Drosophila melanogaster: one gene and its partner. The protein of the gene in region 1 interacts with the protein of each later gene in a pairwise test. Each region holds a gene or a part of one and is shown on either strand. Other genes may lie near its edges.

Evidence for each region. Proteins that work in one complex are often made in the same cells at the same time.
Region 2: the proteins of CG1407 (region 1) and ATbp interact in a two-hybrid assay, tested with the Drosophila melanogaster proteins (one large-scale study listed by BioGRID).

What each region holds. Positions count from the first base shown.
Region 1 is NT_033778.4:10,027,334-10,035,617, reverse strand, and holds CG1407 (uncharacterized protein), read left to right. Parts: upstream 1-2,724; 5' UTR 2,725-3,088; coding exon 3,089-3,224; intron 3,225-3,282; coding exon 3,283-3,404; intron 3,405-3,492; coding exon 3,493-3,599; intron 3,600-3,791; coding exon 3,792-4,038; coding exon of another isoform or gene 4,039-4,110; exon of another isoform or gene 4,111-4,171; coding exon 4,172-4,334; intron 4,335-4,403; coding exon 4,404-4,533; intron 4,534-4,949; exon of another isoform or gene 4,950-5,359; coding exon 5,360-5,813; 3' UTR 5,814-6,355; downstream 6,356-8,284. Other genes in the region: CG12129 (uncharacterized protein), read right to left, coding at 1,003-1,545, 1,597-1,861, 1,915-2,014, 2,067-2,217; CG12128 (uncharacterized protein), read right to left, coding at 7,174-7,910, 7,975-8,284.
Region 2 is NC_004354.4:23,101,813-23,110,096, forward strand, and holds ATbp ((A+T)-stretch binding protein), read left to right. Parts: upstream 1-4,190; 5' UTR 4,191-4,291; coding exon 4,292-4,471; intron 4,472-4,531; coding exon 4,532-5,518; 3' UTR 5,519-6,519; downstream 6,520-8,284. UniProt on the Drosophila melanogaster protein: May be a transcription factor for genes having (A+T) stretches in their promoter and/or enhancer regions. Binds to AT rich DNA.

The DNA of each region.
Region 1 (8,284 bases):
GCAGTCCAGTCGCCTAAGATATACAAAACCAATTTGATCATTGATATTCGAAAAATAAATCGTATATGTGTAATTTACATTGAATTTACTGGTGTCCCTCGAAAATGGATTATTTATGTAATGGACTTTTAGTGGATATATATATGGTCAAAGCTGTTAACTCCGTTCATCGCCTTAGTAATGCGAAAATGGTTGGTCATAATCTTTATGTGTATATCGATGGAATGCGACGGGGAAAGTCAGAAATATTTTGCAGAGCCGATGCAGATAGGATGTATCCGTTTATTATATCCAGACATTTAACTTCTAGTTTGGACACTTGGCTATTTTTAAATACAATAACTACTGATATTGGAAGCATTCGAAACGGCAGTCTTTATTCAATTATTCAACATATAATTCAACTCCGACAAAGCATGCCTTGTTGCAAGCATGCAATCATCTACAGTGCACCCTTTGACCTTTAAATATGGAATCCCTAGAAGAATTATTTACGGATTTATTAAGGTTTGTACGTTTGTGATGTCGAGGTGGTTAACTTAACGCGTAATTGAATGCCAACTATTTTAGACCTTATATTTTAATTGATAAAACTATCTCATTAGATGATTTCAACTGGGCTTCAAGTGCATTGATGAGGGAAACTAAAGATTCACATATTTTGACAAGTTAAATGTGTTTTTAAAAAATTCAATGACAACAAGAAACAAGGAAAACTTCTGCAAGACCGAGCTTATATACCCTTGCAGTAATCAAATTAAAAAAATATATGTTTACCAAATAGCAAAAAATCAATGTTCACAAACAATGAAAAACCCAAAATAATAAACTGAAGCCTTAAAACGCTTTATGACCGAAGTCAATGATAGATTTAAAGCTAAAAAACGATCACCCCGAAACCTGTTACATATGAAAGATTCCGTTAGCTAGGCTTTTATTTGTTAAAAGACATTTTTAAATGTTCTTATTAAAAACTTAAATAAAGCTCTATTTCAATTCTTCTTAGAATTCGAGACTACCGCTTATCTTATAGAACTCATCCTCGGAGCGCGAATTCAATACGCACAGATGTACAGCCTGGCACTGGGCTACTCCGAAATCGAAGTCTCCAAAGCGCTTGAGGATCTCGCGAGCGTCAAAGCTGTTACCAGATTTATTTGCCTTATTGCGGTAGCGGTTGTTCATCACCGTCATGTGCAGTTTAATGGATTCACGTTCAATATTGTCTGTAGCGCACAGTGCTGTAGTCTGAAAGTGGGCCAGACACTGATCCGCAAACTTTTGCAGATCCGGAGACTCGATGCGGGCATACAGAATGCGAGTGGAGCTTGGATCGTCGTTCATAATCTCCAGGCCCTTAACTTTAATTTGGAAAGGTATTTTAAGGCCATCCAGTAAACGACGACATGATTCCAGATTCTTCAGGGCTTCTTGGCGTTCAATGTCATCTAGCAGCACATAGACGCCTAAGGTAAGATGAATGCAGCACTCCGGAGTGAAAAGCTCCTTATCGATGCCTGGCAACTCGGCCTCCAAAATGCATTTCTAGGAAAATTGGAAATAAGTTTTTGCACAACTAGTTTTTTTAGCTAATACCTTTAGTTCCATAAAACGCTCCTTGACTTCTCCAGAGTTTAGAGCCACGGCCAAAAAGTGTGTCGGTTTCATTTTTTTTCGTAAAGAGGCTACAAGATGGTGGATTTGTCGCAGTGCAGCGCATACTTGACTGCGTTGCTTGGCCTTGATAGTCACTTCGTTTGACCTATCGTTCGGACGCGGAACAAAGATCTCTGTACGGGTCTCTTCCTCTATGCGGCGCTTCGTAGATCCTTTCATGCCAATTAGTCCACCGTAAAATGATCTGCAAGGATATGTGTCAGAGATATCGTCAGCGGTTCTTTGTATTCAACCCACTTGGACACATGAATGGAAAGACTAAAATCGCCATTTGCTGACTCCTTAATACATTTGACAACCGCATCGTCCTCGTCATCATCATCATCACCATAAAGATCTGGACAGAAGTGGTCAATGTGGATAATTAAAAATCTACAATATCCACTTACCCGGCTCTTCGTAGGCTTTGTACTCTAGTTTATTCCGTTGGTTTTGACCATTCCACTTGTCGCCACCGAAGTCGTCGTGAACAACGTTGACTCTATAGCGCCGATTCTGGCTCATCTTTTGGACAGGAGGTGATAACACTTCGCGGCTCATGGTGATCAAAAATATTTAGGACTCTTTTATAATTACGGCGATATCCAAAATCAAATGTACTTCATTAAATGATAGACAAGCCGGGAATGACTACTATGCACTTTGGTATATTAGGAAACACTTTAAAAAATACTAGACTTGAATAAGTAATAGTGATGGCAGCTACTTATTTAAGTATTAAAAACATTTATATGGGATGAAATATTTGTTCTTAATTTCATAACAAAATGTACACGTTATTTTATACCAAACATTATATAGAGTGGGTGTACGAGGAAATCTGTCTTGGATCATGTTAGATGTTTAAATAAATTAATTGTACCATAATAAAAATCTGAGACTAAATAATTATGAAGAATTATTATATTTATATCAGAAACATATCCAAAGTCAAGCAATTATATATTGAAAACTACGCAGAATACGATGATCCAAAATGTGTTACCAATTGAAATTCTTATAATCGATAGTATCGTGTCACGGCACCCACAACACACGAACCGCCCATCCCTAAACCAATTTGAGTTTCCCCAATTTGACAGCCAAAATTTAGTTGGTTTCATCTGAAAAAGCAAATTAACTGAGAAATACTACCGAAAATGTCGCAGCGATAAGGTGAAATAGGCACCTGTCCGCCCAAAAGGGGAAGCAAGCAGCGGATAGCGTCAAAAAGCGTTTGTTAACAGCTTGCGAAGTCAGTGAATCACTAAAAGATAAAGACATTGAATTGGCCAGTGGAGCGACCGCTGGAGGAGCACCCACAATTGCAGACCCATCGATCGCCCCTAATCCGCTCCAGCTCCAGGTGGAGGTGACACCAACGCCCCGAGACACACGCGCCCTTGCCGAAGTGGTGGCCCACATAAATAGAATGGGTAACGACGATCATCGACGGCGGAAGACACCCTGCGGATTTTGTATGGCAGTCTTCAAATGGATACCAGTGCTATTTATCACCGCGGTAATAGCTTGGTCCTATTACGCTTATGTGGTGGAGCTATGCATCCGTGAGTTGTATTTACAGTCATGTAGGGGGGGGATATAACCTGATGTTTCCTTTTTCAGGCAACTCGGAGAACCGCATTGGTATGATCTTCATGCTTCTGTTCTACCACCTCTTCCTCACCCTGTTCATGTGGTCGTACTGGCGCACCATAATGACCTCCGTAGGCCGAATACCAGATCAAGTGAGTGAATCATACACCTTATCAGCTCGTGTTATTAAAAGAAAACGGAAAAGCCTACAATATTCGATTGCTTTTCTCCCGTTTTTAGTGGAGGATACCGGATGAGGAAGTGTCGCGACTTTTCCGAGCCGACAGCCCGGACACCCAGAAACGCATTCTTAACAACTTTGCGCGCGATTTGCCAGTAACGAATCGGTAAGCGTTATGTTATGTTATATCTTGTCAGTTGATTTGTATTTGTATAACTTTATCAAACAAAACCATTTTATCTAAGAAATTAAAAGTTGTCCCAATTAAGACATTTCCAAATGCATTTCTCAGCAGCAGAACAATTAGGACGGCGCATTCCGAAGCATTTTTGATAATATTTAAACCTTTGCCTTGCAGCACAATGAATGGTTCGGTGCGGTTCTGCGAAAAGTGCAAGATCATCAAGCCAGACCGAGCTCACCACTGTAGTGTGTGCAGTTGCTGCGTACTGAAGATGGATCACCACTGCCCCTGGGTAAACAACTGCGTTAACTTTTACAACTACAAGTACTTCGTGTTGTTCCTGGGCTATGCTCTTGTCTACTGCCTGTATGTGGCTTTTACCTCGCTACACGACTTTGTCGAGTTCTGGAAGGTAGGTGCAGTAAGTTTCCGATTCGTTTCTACTCTTGCTACCACCCTAAATGCCCGCTGCATGCGAAGACCTGTTAGTTAATGAATGTATTCTCTCGTTTTGCTGTAATGTTATCTAAACTGCTTGTACTTACTGATCCAAGTACGATAATAATGGTTACTCGGCACAGGGACAGCTAAATGCCAGTGGAATGGGTCGTTTTCACATCTTGTTCCTGTTCTTCATTGCCATTATGTTTGCCATTAGTTTGGTGAGTTTATTTGGCTACCACATCTACCTTGTGCTGGTGAATCGCACGACATTGGGTAAGTACCTAAAGCCTGACTTATAAATCACATGCATACCATAGCCTCTTTAATCTATCTTCCATTCAGAGTCGTTCAGGGCTCCGATCTTCCGCGTTGGCGGCCCCGATAAGAATGGTTATAACTTGGGGCGTTATGCCAATTTCTGCGAAGTATTTGGTGACGACTGGCAATACTGGTTCCTGCCCGTGTTTTCGAGGTATTTGACGATTCATTTACTACACCATTTCTACTAGTTCCACCAGAAGCTCTCTCACTCATTAGTTGTTGTTCTTGCGCACTTTTATTTAATTAGATTTGATCTAATGGCTATTTGATTTTGGTTTTTATGTTGATTTCGGCAAATTAAAGGCATGTTCCAAAATTAAAGCTTTGTAGCTAAAACCTTTAATATCCTTCAATGTGTGTTTGGTGTGCTAAGTTATTAAGAAAAACAAACGACTATTGAAGATCACAGATTTTAGATTAACTTAAAGCAATTTCTAACACGTATAATTTATGTAAACCCATAATAACTGTGTATGCTGAAAAATGAGACCGAAAAGCAATGAATCAATGTGGTCGATCTCCTTTTGTAATTTAGTTTTAAGCCAAATTCAAATTATCACTTTATTTCAATTGTGTTCGTTATTTATTTTTGTAAATAAAAAGAGACAAATTTTGCCAGCGATTTTTAGAAATAGACACTTAGATCTAACCAAAACAAGCTTAGTAACCAATTGTCCGCCCCGTAAAGTGACTAACTTAAAGTGTCCAAGTTTGAAATTCTGACGGAACTTTCTGAATTTTAAATGCTCATTAAGTTTCTTTAAAACCAAAACACTTGCCACACATGAAAAGTCGATTAAATTTTTACATTCGTATTCACACATCTGTGCAAAATTATATAACAAAAAAACCTCAAACAACAACAGCTACAACTACAATAAGCTAAACTGTAAAAAAACAAAAACAATATTTATGTTTACAACTCTCTGTTTAACGCAATACCCCAACCTTCTGCTTATTCATAATCACGGAACTAGTCGCGGTGATGGCTACAGCTATCCGACCTCCAGCGACCAGAGTCGAGTGTCCACCAGCTCTCCCACCCAGCGGTACGATGCCATGGGAGATACGACCACCAGCAGGTTAGATGGCAATCCAACAGATAAGTTGATTGGCGCTAGTCCCCTCGACACCACTAACCATCATCACAACCAATCGCCTCATCAAGTAAGAAGCACCAGCGTCCTGCCAACCCAGCTGTTGCAGATCCAGCCGCCATCTACATGCCGGGACGAGCTCAACGAGCGGCAGCAAAAGCTGGCAAACGGCCAATCATTAGACTGCAGCACGCCAGCAGCCATGTCTAGCCCGGACGAGCGTGGAGTCAATGGGGCAGCCGTATACATCGAAATGATTGGAGATCATCCGTTGACAAGCGCTGATCCTGCCAAAGGCTTCCCACGCCCGCCGAATGGCGATCTGCCAGTTTAAATAATAACGTAGAATGTATTATGTGTATGTTTTTGTACCATAGAGCCAAGTAAACTGCCAGATTTGTCAGCGTTGCGGTTCTTAGTAAGCAAATAAGTTACCTCTATGCAATTCATCAGCTGTTTAGTGTAGGCTATTTAAATGTTTAAATGGCTGGGACCATAATATAAATCACCACATATGTATAATCGACTAAGTTAACATTAGGCAATATGTCATTGGTTTCACACACGCATTTATCGAATTTTTTAATGGAAATTAGAAGAATCGAATGTGGAATTTCCTAGTAGATGAGATGGTGTTATCCTCCGAAGATTTGTACCTTGCTAATGCATTCATGAAACCAACTATCCTTGTAGATATCGAAAGATCTTCAAGACTTAAACCTAATGATAAGCAATGAGATTTCAGTACACACTATTAACACACACGGAATTCAGTAATTTCCATATGGTTTTAATTTATGTAGTTAGTAACTGTTTGCAAGTTTTTATACTTTTTCTTACTTTGTACACCTTAATGCCCAAATACATATATTATTGAACTTCTGCAAGTGACGAAATTAAATGGATTTTAAAGTATTTAAAACTTATAAAGGTTTGTTTTTAGTTTGCCAAATAAATAAACATGACAGCTTTGCTTCATCTGCACAGCACCGAATCTTCAATCAATCCATTACATACACAATAACGCACTCATTACTTATCAATTTCCCACTGATGATATAATTCACCACATATCCTTTAGCTTTGGCGATGGCAAAACATTTCCGATTCGACATATGGAAGAGGACACGGAATCTTTGCTAGGATATCACAGCGATACGCGCATCGAGTTGGAGGAGGACTTTCTGCCAGAGCCGCGATTTCAAGACTCGATTCCATAGCTAATCATGACCAGCGACAATGTAGCTACATATTACATTTAGAGATTCAGTTGTGAAGCCTCCTTACGACATACATATACTTTCAGTGTGTAAATAACAGAGGTACAGACAGTCCATCCTATAGGGACAACTAGGTTATTATGTTTAAGTTACGAATGAGTCGATAGACAATTGTAATGTATATGTATGTAAGTGATAATGCGAAAAATGTTAGGAGATCAAAATCTTAATTCTTGCTTGGACATTCGAGTTTGAAATTTAAAATCGTATTAATTTAGTGTGTAAGGATAAAGTTATTAGAACATTTCGAACAAAAGTATATGTCTATATAGGAATATAGCTCGTTATAGCTCGCGTCAACAAAAAACAAAATAGTATACACGCTTAGTGGAATAACAAGAAAATCAAAAGCGAAACTTTAAGCAACACATACGGATCTGTATATTTACAAAAATAAAATTCCAACTATTCCCATTAATCGAACCGACTTAAGTCGTCATCTGCACACGAGTGGCTTGTTCCAGAAACGGTGGTGGATGAAACCACTTCAAAATCGTCTTGTGCTGGGGTGTTTTTCGCTAATTCCTCGGAGGAATCGGCAAAAGGATTGGCCGTCAGTCGAGCCACTTTCGGCAATGGTTTTGAAAATGAAGGTTCATCAACGACTGTTTCATCAGGAGTATCCTCTACTTGCTTCCTTTTCTTTTGCTTTTTGCTAACTAAAACATCTCGCCGTACTGCAATGCCTGAATCCTCACTTTTAGGTAGCAGATCAGTCAAATCGATCTCCACATCAGCCACTTGCGGTTGCAGTTTCTCCTGGAGAGCCGCTAAAGCAATCAACAGCGCTTCCTCGGTGCGAATGGTTCGAGATCCTTGGCGTGGTAAAACATTTACATAGTGGTCGAACAGCAGCTCAGGATCATCTACGGTCAGTTTCTCGTCGTTGGCCAAGGCAGATTCCAAGCCTTGCAGTCCGCCAAATACAATGAGCATGTGATTAAAGTTATATGATCGGTTGGGCACCTCATGTACGTTGGTTCCGCGATCCGAGGTACCCACCGTAACATCGTAGCCGGTTGCGTAGGGTGATTTGGTAAAAATCTCAGACATGGAGTGTGCGATGCGCACCTGGTAGCCCCAATAAACACCTGTTTCCCGACGTGGTTCATCCGGGCTAACTAGTGTTCCCCGCTGCTTTCTACAGCTCTCTGTTAGGACGAATAGTTCATTAGTTCGGCACTGGGAGCACAAATGTTCGATTTAAATGCCTACCACTTTGAGGTTCCATTTTTACAGTTACTCTGACGCCTGGTTCTATTGCCTTGTCAACCAAAACGTCGTTAAGCAGCCCCACGTTGGCGTAGCTGTGTCCCTCCTTGGCCTTCTTGTCGCAAATGACGCCCTCACGATACCTGAATTTGCTCTGTTGACGGAGATGGTGCGGTGTGTCCAATGGATTCAGCAAGCCAGAGTACTTAAGGTCTTTGTGCAGCGGGAAGAAGTATTTTCGGAGATACTGCGGGCATTCCAGATACTGCAATATGCGTGCCAGTTGTAATGAGCTGCTGCGCACAGTGCCAGT
Region 2 (8,284 bases), on another chromosome or scaffold:
AGTCGCACCTATTGCTGGTTTCTGTGTCGCTTAACATGCTGATTTAACTCGGGAGCAATGCTCGCACACGTAGGGCAGTTCCTTGGTGTGACTTCTTTCATAGACCCGCAAAGCCGTCGTGCTAAAAAACTTCTTAGGGCAGTTGTTACAAACGTGTATATGTAAATGTAATGTAAATGTAAAGATGTAAAAACTTCAGTCTACAAATATGGCATATAGGGGCCAGGTTTGGATTCTGCCGCAGGCCATCCTCATCGTTTAGTTTTGTACTTTATGCCTCCGGATCCAACCATCTGTCACGCTGAAGCTTCGGCCTCAATAAGTATTCTAGGCATTCGTTATCCGACGCCAGGAGTCGCGGCACAGCTCCATGTTGAGCAATTGTTCATGCGACTGTTTTTAGAGACGAGGCTCCGAGCGCTAGTGTACATGGTGGGTCGCAAGACGTTGAATTGCGATAAGAATAAGTTTAATCTTCATTTTATAACTGTGGTATTCAATGCAGTGACGAAGGCGACTACTTTATGCACAGTGAGAAATATTCAAAAGTGAGGAAACCAATAGTCATATACCAAAGGTATCAAAAACTAAAACGATTGCATGCCAAGACGCTGAAGAATATGAACTAATATAAGATGCGCTCTATTATAGTTTTCTTAGTACTGTATCCGTTTTTGGCTCTCAAAACCATACTTAACTCATACCGACCGGCCTATCCCACTAAACGCATTCTTATCAAAAATTCAGGATACAATTATAGCTTGGAGACTGTTTGTATTTGTATTAAACGATAAAATCGATGGTCTTTTTTTTTTTGCAAAATCAACACAGCCTTCAGGATCTAGACCAAATATAGAAAAATGCAAAGCCCATTAACTACCATTTAAACAACAAACGAGAGAGAATGCTATAGTCGGGTTCCCCGACTATCAGATACCCGTGTAAGGGCGCTGTCACCTCGAAAACTTTAAAAGCTTTGAAGTTAAGATAATGTATGCATTTCTTTCCTTTTTTCTGATTTTCGAAACGTAACGTTTTAAACGTTTTAATCATTCGTTAATCAAACAGCAATTCATATAACAGAACGTTATATGAATTTTTGTTAAGTGTTCTAAATATTTTGGTAACACAGACAGGACGAAATGAATTTTCTATCTATTAAATAAATTGATATTTAAAGAAAGCAAATTAATTTAGAAATATATTGACAATTTCCAACTAATTTATCTCTGTTATGGAAAATTAGTTTAGGAAAAAAGTTAAAATAACAAAAGGAACCGCTATAGATTTTCTCCACTAGCGCCACTCAACTAAGGGGAGAACGAGGGAGAAACTTTGAAACTTGATTGTCATATCCATAAAATTGTTTAGAATAACAAGAGAGAATGCTATAGTCGAGTTGCCTGAATATCAGATACCCGTTAACCCAGATATTTTTCTGCGATACCAAAAGATGTTGGGGAATAAAATGAGAAAAAATTTCAACAATTTTCAAAAGTGGGGCGTGACCGGTTTGTCGGCTTAAGGGCGTCACAGTGGGTGTGGCAAACAGTTTTTTTTTTGCACATCGATCGGAATTTACAAGACTAATAAAGATGTGAAAAAATATCAATATATTTTTCAAAAGAGTGATCGTGGCATTTTTTCGTGGGCTTGTGGGCGTTGCAACATGGATCAACAAACTTGCGCTGCGTCTTTGTCTCTAGAATCTGCATGCTAAATCTCCGCCTTCCAGCTTTTATAGTTCCTGAGATCTCGACGTTCATACGGACAGACGGACATGGCTATATCGACTCGGCTATTGATCCGTTATACAGTCGGAAACGCTTCCTTCTGCGTGTTACATTCCTTTAAACGAATCTACGTTACTCTACGAGTAACGGGTATAATAACCAAATAAAAAAGTCTAAACATATTTAAAAAATTTGGTTGGCGTTCGAATGAGATGGTGGAGGTATTTTGGCAAAGCGATACAAAGTAGCAAAAAATCAAAAAATGCAATGAAAAATAATTATAACATTTCACAAAAGTGTGGGTGTGAACCTTTTGGGCGGTTTGCCGTCGTTAGGGTGTGCGAATATTTCAAAACTTGCCCACGTACCACTATGTGAAATTTTACCACTTTTTCTGCCCAAAATGAATAACTCCAGGACGTTGAAAGATATTCAGATTGGGTTACAATATATCCGTTCTGAAACCGCCCCTTATATTTGTTGTAGTTTGTAACTCTAGAACGGATAAAGATATTTAAATTTTTTTGCCATTATCTTTTATGATACCAAAAATTGTGGCCGTGGCACCGCCTCTTATATTTAATTAACTAATTTTGTATAGGTATTTCTCTAATTTCGTATGCTTTTTCTAGTCCAAGCAAAAGAATGGTAGCTGTTAAGATGATTTTGGCTTGATGTTTGATGCCAATTTGATGTCCTCGAGATGTTGGTTATATACATTTATTTATATATTTAAGTATGTCCTGTGTGTTAAAGTTTTCAATAGTTGTAAGTGGATGGCTTGTTGCGGTTCTTGCTTGGCTGTCAGCGAGTTCATTTCCTGGTGTTCTTAATAATGCAGAATTTTGCTCTTTTATTTTTATGAGTTCTTAGGGCCTCAATAATGGCTAGTATGATGTGCCGTTTGATAAGTTAAATTTCGTAGTTAATAGCGAAGCTGGTAATTTTGTTTGTTTGAGATCCATCTGTGTAAATGTAGGTCTAGGAAAGATCGTTAGTTTGCTTATTATTTAATATTTTCCTTATCAATTTTGGGGTCGTGTTGTTTTTGTTGAACTTATTGTGTGTTGTGTCGATTTTAGAAAGATTGGTGTTTCAGGGAGGTGAGGTTTGGGGGCATATATTACCCGTTACTCGCAGAGTAAAAGGGTATACTAGATTCGTTGAGAAGTATGAACCGGCGGAAGGAAGCGTTTTCGACCATATAATATATATATATTCTTGATCAGGATCAATAGCCGAGTCGATCTATCCATGCCAGTCTATCGGTCTGTACGTAGGGAAATGCAAAGACAAAACAAAATGTGAAAATATATCGCACATACCTAAGTATGTAGTTATGTAAATACACATACATATATACATATATTTCACATTTTACATAGCCACATATGAATATACATATGTGTTTTCGGGTAGGGTATCATTTTAAAAGTGTCTGTCTTGCGTTACTTACATTTTTTCAATAACAAGTACTCAATACTTTTGCTTTTGGATTGTATTTTCTCCACTGTACATTTGTATAACAAAATCCATAATATTATCTTTTAAGCTACGCATTAAGGTAATTTCAGAAGGAAATGAACGATTCCTAGTGACTTCAATATTATTGAATAATAATTGATTTTTCCAAAAAAAAGATTGTATTCAAATATATTTCGGTATTGTTATATATTCATACATAAATTCATTTATACACATAACGGAAAATTAAAAAACATCGATTAGTTCGTAATCAAAGCACATTAAATCAATGCTTAACAATAATCAGGACACACTATGTAGTACGTTATTTAAAAAATTATTAACATAATGCTTGTGTTCTAACTAAATAACCGACTGACCCTTTCAGGAGTAAGGGAGAACTCTTCATTCTGATAATGAAAATGCGAGAAAGATGGAGCTATTCAAACAGCAAAACATTGATACGGACAAGTCCAGTTCGACTCTACTAGTTTTCCTGATCAAGAATATATGTATATACATTAAAGGGTCGGTAACGCTTCCTTTTACCTGTTAAATACTTTTCAAGGAATTTAATATACGCCTCCACCATACGAGGGCATGAAAATCATTTTTGGTACTTCACAACATTTTTAAAATTGTAAAAGGCTTAAAGATTCCATACAACAGTTATTTAATATCGATAGAAAATTCGCGATTCTGGACTTTTATTTAGAAGTTTTTACCTTATCGATATATCGATAGAAGATATTTAAAATGCTATAAAAGTATTTTGGTTCTTCCAATGTCTAACGCTTTTTTTGAGTGTCCTGTTGAGGAAACCAATGTTTTTTAAGATTTTTTCCCAAAGCTTCACATGCGTTTTATCGTTTGTAAATATAATTCCTAATTAAAGTTTTTTTTATGGACCACTGATATGTAGTTCTTTACCATCAATGCGATAGCTGCGTTCAAGTTCGACACTAAATAAGGCCGATGATTAATCGATACTATCGACAGTGCCCATTCGGCCGATAGCTAAACAAAAACAAAAAAAAAATAAACATAAACAAACAACAGCACAAGGACCGGACCTAGTCAAACAAAACAACGCCATGGGTTTTCCGCGCATCCTCAGCAAGAACAACAAGATCTACACCAAGCTGGGCGAGTTCTGTTTGTCGGGGGATAGCTTCTGGATTGTTTGTCACACGTGCCAAGAGGAGTTGCAGACACAGGATCAGTTCTGGAAGCACATACAGGATGAGCATAATTTCATGCACGGGGTGGCAAAGGTATGCTTTATGTGGTTTTTTTTTGGCGGAGGGTTTATAACCCTTGGTCTCTTTACACAGGAACACAGTCGTACATCCAGCTACTGCCTAACGGATGTGGAGGCTGCGGCGGCAGCAGCAACGCCAGGAAGCAGCTCCCAGCAAGGCGCCACAGCGATCAGTGTGCCTCTGGCACTTTACACCTGCTCAACCAAGTATTCTGAGGAGGAGCAGCGGGAGGTGGAAATGCACGAACAGCAGGTGCAACACCAAGTGCAACAGCAGCAAGCGCAGCAGCAGCAAGCGCAGCAGCAACAACACCAACAGTCTCAGCAGCAAGGGCACCAGCAACACCAGGTTCAACAACAGCAGACCCACCAGCAGCTCCAACAGCAGCGGGATGTTGCCAAGGAGCTGGCTGAACTCCATGCCAATGCGGTAGCTGCCGCTGCAGCCTCCGCAGCTGTGGTATCCACAGGCGAAGGAACTACCCAAAGTAACAGCGCCATCGACATTAAAATAGAGCCCAGCAGTCTGACACTTACACCCGAAATGCAGGCTGCTGCAGCAGCTGGGGGGACCATTTACCATCTGCCACAGCTAGTTCCACCACCTGTACCGCCTCCACCGCCAGGGTCCGGATTTGTAAGCGTCAGCGCCAGTACCAGCACCTCCAATACGGTCAGCACCACGCCACCCAATGTTCTACAGCAGCAACAGCAACTAAACATGTCTGTCGTTCCTTCGACGGCTATGGCCGCCGCTATGCTAGCCGCCAGTCAGGAACAGCTGCCCAAGGACTCTAACAGCACGACGGCCAGCGCCGGGAGTGCTGTCTCTTCAGATGACGGAGAACGCTGGTACGTCTGCGATTACGAGACTTGTGGTTTGAAGTTTAAGTATAAGTCGAGAATGGAGCTACATCGGGTAGTTCACAGCAAGGAGCGGCGGTTCAATTGCGAACTGTGCAGTGCCTCCTTCAAGCAGTCGTGCAACCTATCAACACACCGGAAGAAAAAGCACGCACTGAGAGGCATCAAAAGCGAGATATTGCCGCAGCGCTTTTAGGCTATACATTAAACAGAGACAGCTCAAAGATTCCCCAATTAACCACATTGCATCTCGAAAAACCCTGTTTGAAAATGTTGACTTAAGTTCAAGGAAATCGCTTGTTTGCCACAAAAAATGTTCATTGTGCTAGGAGCCACAGAAATCTGTTGAATTAGCAAGGTGTGTACAAAAGAGTTCTACATTTTGTCTCTTCCATGATTTCTCTGCCTTTTCTAAGACTCAATAAAGTTATAGACTTTATATTTATATTTATAAATTAAATAATTCTGGATAATTCCGACTGTAAATTAAAATTTAGCACTGCGTCAACATTGTGGCAGGCAAGTGACATATATATGTATATCACATATGTGTATATATATATGCTCTACAAATGAATATATATTGTATATAAATAAATATATAATATAAATATATATAACATGTATGCATATTTAGTATATAAAAATATACAAATATAAACTAATATCTAATGTAGGCTTAGGTTGTCATGTAAATGTAATGTAAATGTTTAGGCAGAGGTATGAAAACCCCCGTTATCTTTTACGCTCTAAGTGTACATGCAATGATGTGTGTAAAGGAGACCAAAATTTAGAAGACGGAATTAAGCCCAACCAAAAAATATGTTGGTGTCTAGACCGTTGTGAGTTTTGTTTTAGAGTAAATTGGTTCACAATGTGTTAAAACCGATTAGTCTCCTTTGAGTAAGTCTTTTACTTTAAGTTGAAATGGATTCTGAGGACAGCGAGATTTCTGGGACATATCTAGTGGTTGCTGAAATAGTGTCAGTTACAGTTTACAAGGTTAGAACAGTTATTTACCTAGATACACAATATTTATGTATATATGGCCATATATACAGCTGCGAAAAATTTAATATTACCACTTGCCCAATCAAGGTTTGAATAAGTCCCAATTTTAGGATTTAAAAAGAGCAAAAATACCTTTTTAGAAAAGTTAAATCATGCACTTATTAGAAAATAAAAAATAATTACATTGTTCTATGAGTTCTTAACTTAATTAGCCACGTCATGAAAAATGCTTAAATATTCAATTTTAAACAGCTGTTCAACGTGTTGGCATGGATTGATTCAGGTCCTGGCACTGTTTAAGGGATATTTAGGTCCAGGACTTCTTAATTACAGCCCAAAGTTTTCCATTGTTAGTTGCTCGAGAAGCTACAACTGCCTTTTTATTATCGTTGAAAGTATGTAACAGGCAGAAAGGAATCCGACCATATAAAGTATATAACTGCTACGCCCACATTTTTGAAAAATTGTTTGATATTTTTTCATAATTTTATTAGTTGTGTAAATTTCTATCGATTTGCCAAAAAACAGTTTTGAACAATTCTTAAATTTTTTCTCATTTTATTCCCCAATATCTATCGATATCATAATAAAATGATAAAATTTCGTGTTCGCATTCACACTAGCTGAGCAACGGGTATCTCTCTTGTTTTTCTTGTATTTTATCCATTGCCCACAAAGTTAACAACCTTGCTCACATCTGACCATAAAATGTTAATGCGCTTGGCTATGTGTCTCCCATTAAAAGGAGGGACTTTCCTTGGACTTCAGTATTTTAAACCATGTTCCCTGAGACATGTTCGAACTGTTTCTGCTATTGCGAATATGCCGAGCATCTGTTTCAGTTCGATAGCAGCTTTAAATGGGTCCTTCCTGCTCTCGCGCACTAGCCTTTTGAGTTTTTTAATTTTTCGCACTATGGGAAATTTGAACACCTTTTTTGTCCAAAATTAATAGCTCGAGAACGATATTAAGATATTTTTTTTGCATTGGGTTACACTAGCACATAACTAATTTTGTATAGGGCTAGGCGATTTCTGTGGCGCTCTAGCCTGTCGTGGTACCCGCTGGAGTGCATGTTTATTGCCTCGAAGACAGTGGCTAGCTTGAGGTCTTTGTGCAGGGTTGCGTTCCTTACGAACCATTCGTATCCCGTTATCATCCTGGCGATTTTGTTTTGGGCAGCCTGAATGCGACGAATTTGACTGTCGCACGCCAAGCCCCAAATTTGGCAACCATTCCGACATATTGGCGCTAAAATTTGCTTGTAAATTGTCACCTTGTTGGAGAGTGACAATTTACTTCGCAAATTAATTAACCAGAAGTGCTTTGACGCTGCTGCACGTATACGCACTCTCATCGCACTTGCTTCGGAAAGTTGAGTCTCCGATCCAAGATTACACCAAGATATTTGGATGAATTGGACTGGGGGACAGGGGTACCATCGATGAGCACAGCCGGTGGTGTTCCCCTTTTCAGTGTGTAGCACACATTCGCTGATTTGTCACCATTGATGCCAATGTTCCAACGTCTTGCATATTGCGCAAATGTTGATGTGAATTCCTGGATGCCTTGATATTAAGGGTGAGAGTGTCAACAGCTTCTTCTAGGTCTCTCCATCTTGGTATAAACTGTAGCTGTTGCATCTAGTGTATAATAAGCGGTAGGGGGTCGGAGCTGAACTCAGCAACAGAACGTTCAATATATCAGCATGCATATCCAGTATGCCCCTGCTGACAGCAAAATCTATATATTCTGGGGAGCCTCTACTGCCGTACGGGAATCTTGTAGGACCTCCGGTTGCTAGGGAGCTCATATCTGAGCTTAGGACCAGATTCGCTAGCTCACGCCCTCTTCGATTGCACCTACCCGCTCCCCATAGCCAGTGGGATGCATAATGCATTTAAATTCGTCCGTATTCCATATGAACCTCGGGGGCAGTATATCGCGCAAA